Linked DNA regions of Coturnix japonica. The protein of the gene in region 1 interacts with the protein of each later gene in a pairwise test. Links are inferred from orthologs where the notes say so. Each region holds a gene or a part of one and is shown on either strand. Other genes may lie near its edges. The genes, in order: IQUB and TMCC2.

What was found.
Region 2: the proteins of IQUB (region 1) and TMCC2 interact in a two-hybrid assay, tested with the Homo sapiens proteins (2 studies listed by BioGRID and IntAct). The two-hybrid records come from large-scale screens. The link is inferred for Coturnix japonica from reciprocal best matches to the Homo sapiens genes IQUB and TMCC2.

The regions. Positions count from the first base shown.
Region 1 is NC_029516.1:19,991,288-19,995,109, forward strand, and holds part of IQUB (IQ and ubiquitin-like domain-containing protein), read right to left. Parts: coding exon 3,693-3,822; intron 3,445-3,692; coding exon 3,289-3,444; intron 1,493-3,288; coding exon 1,282-1,492; intron 1-1,281. UniProt on the Homo sapiens protein: Adapter protein that anchors the radial spoke 1 (RS1) complex to the A microtubule of outer doublet microtubules in axonemes. The triple radial spokes (RS1, RS2 and RS3) are required to modulate beating of the sperm flagellum.
Region 2 is NC_029541.1:2,362,867-2,366,688, forward strand, and holds part of TMCC2 (transmembrane and coiled-coil domains protein 2), read left to right. Parts: intron 1-3,030; coding exon 3,031-3,537; intron 3,538-3,822.

The DNA.
Region 1 (3,822 bases):
AGACAGACCAATTTGTTCAATGCCACACAAAGTATGACAGGATTGAAAGATAAGTGGATAACTTGGGATTTCTTGAATCATGAGCTTAGGCTCCGTGAATAACACATGCTGCCAAATTCATGCTCAGTTTACCGTAGGAAAAATAGCTAGGATGGTTTAAGGTGGGTCCGGTAGCTTTGCAATGAATAAGGAATCCATTCCGTCAGTTCTGCTATAGGGACAGCAATGCAAAAACTGCCAAGGAACTAAACCATAAGCAAGCACTTAAGCTTAGGTAAAATGAGCTGTCCAAAGTGACAGTGCAAGTATTTTGCTTAAAAGGGGTCATTTTAAAAGAGCTACAGCAACGTTGGGGTTTTTTATAGGCCATCACATTGTTTTCCATTGTTTCATTTTTCCAAAAGGCCATATGTTAATTTGTTGTTACAGTTAGAAGATCATTCTTGTGCAAGATTTTAAACCAATTATTTGCAGCATTCACCTTATTTTGCCAGGGAAGTTTACAAGTGCTTGTCTGCAGACACCATCCCCTCTGCTAGGAGACACATTTCATGATGCCCTATAGGAGCTTAAAAAAATGTTCTTAAGATTTAATTTTCTTTCTTTTTTTTTTTTTTTCTTTCATTTAAGATTTTAAAAATATTTTATTATTTTATATTATCATTTATATTATTTTAAAATATTTGTCAAATTTTTATTGCAGTTACAGCAGTTCTATGAACAAAATACATTAGAGATGAGAAACAGCAGCAGAAGAGGGCATGGATGAAATGAAGAACCTCATTTACCTTTCATAAAATTCTGGGTAAAATTTAATCCATTATGAAAATTAAATGGCAGATGATGGATTTTAATTGCAATTCCTTCAAGACATTATTTTCACTGACTTAAATGCATCAGAACTAACTTAGTCTTCTGATCCTTAAAAGAAAACAATAGATGAATCTTGTTCTTCTTATTGACCTATATCAGGTCATCTTGTTCCTCTATCTCACATCATTACAGATGAATGGGAAAACAAACAAAAATACCTCCCAAATAACACAACTACTAGCATTGTTTTATAGGTTAATTTGTTGGGGTTTTTTTTGTTTTTTTTTTCCCCATAAAAAAAGCTTCTAAAATGAAATTAATTCCACTGCTTAGAAAAAGGAAAAGGAGATGGAAACAGAGATGATCCAAAAGGAAAAGAAACCTGCCAAAACCAGAAAACTCCTCAACTATGCTTTTTTTTTTTTTTTTTTTTGCTGACTTAAGAGTGCCCCCTTAAGAAAAACTTACATTCTAAAGCGTGGTACAGCAAGTCGAAATCTTCTTTGGTTTTAGGGTTCAGTTTTCTCTCCTGCTCCATTCTCAGTTTGTCTTCCTTCTCTTTTTTCTTCCTTAACTCTTCCTGTGCTTCCCATTCCAGCCTTAATCTCTTTTTTTCCTTCAGGTTTTCTACTAGTTTCGTAGCATACCAACGACGGAAATTTTTCTGTAACACTATTACCTACATATGACAAAAATATCACAGAACCATCAATTTAAAAACAAACAGCACAGCATTTTGTTCTTAACCATTATTTTTTAGCGTTTTAACTACATTTTCTAAGATCTGTCTTGTACTTAGACTAATTTAAATGCTTTACAAACAGTTATGTACTATTAGCCTAAACACTAGCCTGCTTACTCTTTTAGTAGGGATACTAGGGAGGTAGCCTAGATATATCACAGTAGGAAGGACAATACGCAGGCCTGAACTTCTTCTGCCAGCTGAGTTAGCACTTGCACCAAATGCACTTGAGTCAGGTTAATTTAATGCCATTTTGAGTTTATTAAGCATTATTCAGTGCAGAAGGCCGCCAAACACAAAACCATGCTCATAGAGCTAAACAGCCTCTAGAGATATCTTAACCTAACACTTCCCTTGGATATGTCTCCAGTTATTATTTCAGTATAGAACTACATTATGTTGTGCAAATCCACCAAACTGAATCAACACCAAGCTGATGTCTCCACTGTGCTCTATTCCTTGACACAGATGCACTCTAAAAAATAAATCATTTTAAAATATTATATATCAACAATACAAACATATTTCTGTGCTTTTATTGTACTGTGAAAAAAGTACATACAGAAAACTAACCAATACCCACGGTATTAAGACCTGAAGGCCAGTTTTAGTTATAAGAAGCTGCTGTGAAGAGAGAAAGTATTTTTTAATACATTTACAAAGTGTTTGCTTTTGAAGTGAAAACCAAAGAAAATCATTCTGCAGTAACATTTACAGCAGCATCGTAGGTTACCTACAGATACGTTACAGATGTCAGTGAGTAGCACTAATGATCACAGTAAAACTCACTCATAGTCCTGAGGAAACAGCTAACTACTTGGTTTCCATTCCTACAAGATGCTTATTGCTGTCAGCTAATGCTGACTAAATAAGAATTTCTTATAGAAAGTTATAACAAGATTTAAAAAGCATCTCGTCAGCCACATTAATACAATGATCCCACTTAAACACTTGGGAAAACCAACTTTTTATCTAGTTCGTAAGACTCAGGCTGCTTATTTTAAGCATTAAATTAGGAACTGGAGCATTTACAAAGCAGCATCCAAGCTAACATGATGCCAGGGAGTAAATAAGATAGGTGTGCAGTCACTGAATAGATGGTTTGCAAAGAGAAGTTCAGGACGCCTAAAGAGACATCCCCTGTACAATGACAATCCAGCATCTGTTGTCAGAATTGGCTACAATGAACATCTCACTGCACCAAAAGACTCTGAACCTAAAAAACCAGAAGGCCACAGCATCCATGTAGTTTGTTCTTAAATAATAAAGTAAATACACACAGAAAAGAACAACAACAACAAACAAACAGAAAAAAAACCATAAAATCCAGAAGTTGAATGTAAGTCACATAAATCCTGATCCAATATTCTAGCCATTATGTCATAGATGGCATTAAGCATGTAGTTCAGGTCCTCCTAAAAGAGATCAAGACAGTGCCAATGGCAGAAGTCTATTTTAATACCTAACAGTATAGGTAAAAGTTTAACTTAAGACAGAAGCCAGTAAATTCCCAATGATTAATATTTAAGAAACTGTACGGTCTCAAATGTTGCTGGAAACACCAATAGTGTAAATGTGCACACTCACACTTACCCTTATATCAGAAAGATATGGAAATGTGAACATTTTAAAATTCACTGTTAAAAATTACTCTCTGAACACCCACTAAATATTCAGATAATCTTCTTGCTACTTTTCTTTGCAGATACAGCTGCAAACCTATGAGAACTTACTGCGTCAAGCCGACGCTTGTGGTATTCCTCTGCTGTAAAGTATTTTCCAGGGGTTATTAGTTTGTCAGTCATGTTTGACACATACACGCCCCTTTTAGTCATCTGGGTTGATGTTGGATTTGTTGTTTGTTGATATCTATTTCTTTCTAAAACTGTCTAGAAAGAAAACACACGTCAAATTATCAGACAATACACAGATTGCTTTCTCATTACAAGAAGAACAAAAAATTAGCTATTAATAAACCCAAATCACACAACTCATTATATAAATCCATTAAATATATTCCATTGCATACATACTGTTGACTTATTTACTTCCTCATTCCTGTTTGAAATAATTGTGTAAACATTCTGTTGTTTGGCAAAATTAAATGTATCTTAAAAAGACACTATTGGACCATTACCTGTGTTTCTCTACAAAATACCGTAGTTCCTTTTTCAGGTCTTTTCTTGGGTACCGTTTGTGACCCTGCATTATGATATTCCACTCCCGTTACTTTGTTCTTAAATCCACCCAGAAACGGTTTACGAAAA
Region 2 (3,822 bases), on another chromosome or scaffold:
ACCAGAGCAGCTCCATCCATCACCTCCCCAGGGCATCACTTACCCACAGCTCCCAGAGTGCTGGCAAGGACCCCATTAGCTCCCCATGTCCCATGGGGGCTGTATGCTAAGCCCCTAACCCCCATAAAGGAGAGCATCTTCCCATGCAGGCGATGTTCAGATGCTGCAGCAAGAACCCCAGCGTGCTTTCAGTGTCCCTGCAGTTGATAACAGCAATGCAGAGGTAACAGCCATAGGCTGACGTTCTCCATGCTGTCATCCAGTGATTCTCCTCTCCATGCCCTATAGATATGGGGTCTGGAGACCCCCAGCTGCAGCAGCACCTGGTAGCCACAGCCAGTGGTTCAGATTTGCTTGCAGGCAGAGCTGCATATCACTACAGCACTTTGGTAGTGCACAGAGCGACATGACTAACGCTTGTCACATGTTTGTTCTCTCCTCCTGTCCCCAAGAGGAGAAGCGTGGGGGGGGGGAAGTGCTTTATTTGCCATTTAAGAACATCTATATATTTGTGGTCGAAGGGTTCTGTCCTCCCTTGGTGCCCTGAGGTGCTGGGTGTTTTAGGATGGGATGGGATGGGATGGGATGGGATGGGATGGGATGGGATGGGATGGGATGGGATGGGATGCAATGGGATGCAATGGGATGCAATGGGATGCAATGGGATGCAATGGGAATGGGGTGGATAGGAGCAGCCATGCAATGGGATGCAGTGGGATGCAATGGGATGCAGTGGGATGCAATGGGATGCAATGGGATGCAATGGGATGGGATGCAATGGGATGGGATGCAATGGGATGCTATGGGATGGGATGCAGTGGGATCCAATGGGATGCAGTGGGATGGGACGGGATAAAATGGGATGCAATGGGATGGGATGCAATGGGATGCAATGGGAGGGATGCAATGGGATGCAATGGGAGGGATGCAATGGGATGCAATGGGATGGGATGCAGTGGGATCCAATGGGATGCAGTGGGATGCAGAGGGGTAGTTTTCCACTCTCTCTATGCAGTGCCTCCAATGGGCTGCAGAATACTGGCTGGAGCCTCTGGGCATGCAAAGGGTATACATTATTAATAGAAATAGTAATAATAATTGAACCTGGTGTGAGACTGTGCTTTATGGTCGTGGTGATAAGATCCCCGCCTTGTGTGAGCATCTGAAACCTGAGAAATGGGGTTTGGATGTCAGGGCAGGGCCCATCAAAGAGCTGGAAAACCTTTGGTAAGGCACCAAGAGGTTCTTCTGTGCCAAACCCAGGTCTGATCCACTGGCATAGGGATGTGATCCAGGAGCTGCTCTTCTTGCAGTCCATAGAAACCAGTTCCTGGCATCACTAGGAGACCTTACCTGTGTTAATAAACACACGTATATGTGTATTTTGGTAATAATCTTGGTGGTTTACAGCTGTCTGCACAGTGAGATTAACCTCCGTATCCATTGCATCAGTTATTAAGCAATGGCAGTTCCAAAATAGCCCATGCAGACAATCTGTTCCGAGCCACGAGCAGCTCCGTGCCAGAAAAATGCCTCTGCTGTAGAAGTGCAATCACATCCCGGAGCAACACAAGAAAAACAGAGCTTTTACATCAGCAATAACTATTGCAGGGCAGCAGCATGTTCACAGGAACCACTCTTCACTGCCAACAGGTCCATAGTTCAGCAAGCCCTACATCCAAAGCCGAGCAATGCCAGGATCCTGCTTCCTTCTTTTGGCCTCTTTTCCTTTTCTTTTCCCCTCCTTTATACTTTGGCTCCCACCCAAAGCAGCTGCTATCGAATGTCTTTATTGCACCTTTCCCTTCCTTTTGTTTCTTTTACCCTCAAGGGGAGGTGTTGCTTGTTCCTTTCCACCTGGACCTCCTAAAGGGCAAATCCATGCGTGTGAGGCTACGTCGTACCCTTGGTGACAGAAATCCATTGCTTTATGGTTATTACCCACCTAATGCTGCCTCCGTTTCCATAGAGACACTATAAATAGAATGAAATTTAAATCACCATTTCCCCAAGTAGCAATCCAGCGTGGTGGATTCATTATAGACTTTTGGGGATGAACCAAGAGGGCATGTGTTTTCATTATGGAAAGATTCAAGCTTTTCCCTGTAGTGTTTAGTTGACATGGGATGTGCTTGTGTAACACCACTCCATTTCAGGTTGGATGTTAGGATATGAGAGTGGTCCCCAGGGATAGGGAGGAGGTGCTATGGTCAATGGGCACAGTGGGATGGTTTGAGGTTGGATTGAGATCTTTCCCAGCCTTAATGGTTCTGTGATCCCCTGTGCATGCTGCAGGTGTGATGGGAATGAGCCCCTTATGGACACTGGGCTTTCATGTCTGTGGCTTTAGGAGATGGGGTCCCTCCTGTAGGGACATGAAGCCCTGTGGCCATCTGTGAATCCCAAAGGTCATATCTCAGAAATCAGTGCCTTTGCCAAGTGGCTGCTGGGGCTATAAGTAGCTCCCTGCACACTTGTTTTCAAGCATGAGTAAATGACAGTGCTCCAATTACGGGAACCAGAGTCCCTGGGGAGAAGTCTGTGCTGCACTACATCAGCAGCAAAATGCCCCTGAACCTCAGCAGGGCCAGGATCGTCATCCATAGATCCACATCATCTCCTGGTGATGCTGTCCAGGCACTGTAGTGACTGTAGGGAACTGCTCTGGAGTTACGTGGCCACAATCAGCAGTAGATTTATTCCAGCACCCAGATCACAGCCAGCCTGAGGGCAGCCATCCCCACTGAGTCCTGCTGGCCACACGATGGGGCTGATGCTGTGGGGCTGGGGGGGGACCATGGTTTCTCTTAGTAAAAACATGCCGCCCTTAGGGTTGAGGTGCTTGGAGGCTTGTGTGGCTTTCTGCATGCTTTTGCTGCTCTATCAGAGCTCTGTATGGGTGCTGCTGGAGCTGCAGCCACCCTGCGTGTCCCCAGCTCTGCATGCCATCAATCTTTATCACTCACTCAAGGTGCCTGTAGCCATCCTTCTGGACAATAACAAGACATTTTCTCCTCTCATTCCCTGCAGAAAATCCAGCAGCTGTCTGAGGGCTCCATGTTCGGTCACGGCTTGAAGCACCTATTCCACAGCCGCCGGCGGTCGAGGGAGCGTGAGCACCAGAACTCCCAGGACTCACTGCCACCTCATTATGGACTGTCTGACCACGAATCCCCCGATGAGAAGGAGCGCTCCCCGGAGATGCACCGTGTCTCCTATGCTGTCTCCCTGCACGACCTCCCAGCACGTCCCACTGCCTTCAACCGGGTGCTGCAGCAAATCCGCTCCCGTCCCTCCATCAAGCGTGGCACCAGCCTTCACAGTGGCAGCCGGAGGGCCAAGAGTGGCTCGTTGGACCCCCAGAAGGGCAGCCCACACCTCATCCGAAAAGCCCCCCAGGACAGCAGCCTCACCGCCATCCTGCATCAGCACCAGGGGCGGCCCAGGTCATCCTCCACCACTGACACTGCCATCCTGCTGGCTGAGAGTGGGGCCGTCTATCTGCTCACTGAGGACAGTGAGAGCCTGGCTGATAAGGTATGGATATTATGGGGTGGTGGAGGGCACAGAGCCATAGAGCTGGGGGTGGATCTGCTCTTGGTGCAGTGGGTTTGCAGAGAACAAATCCCTCCCTGCTGCTGCTGGGGTTTGTGCCCCTTATGGGGATGGAGAAGGCAGGGATGTGCTGAATCCCAAGCCTGGAGTTGAGTTGAGGAGCACAGAAGTGGACCTGGCAAAATTCAGATCACATTAATGTCACCCATTGTCACCTGCACCACCTCTTCCTCTCCTGTACCCAAGTTTTCCATTGGAAGAGCTGTG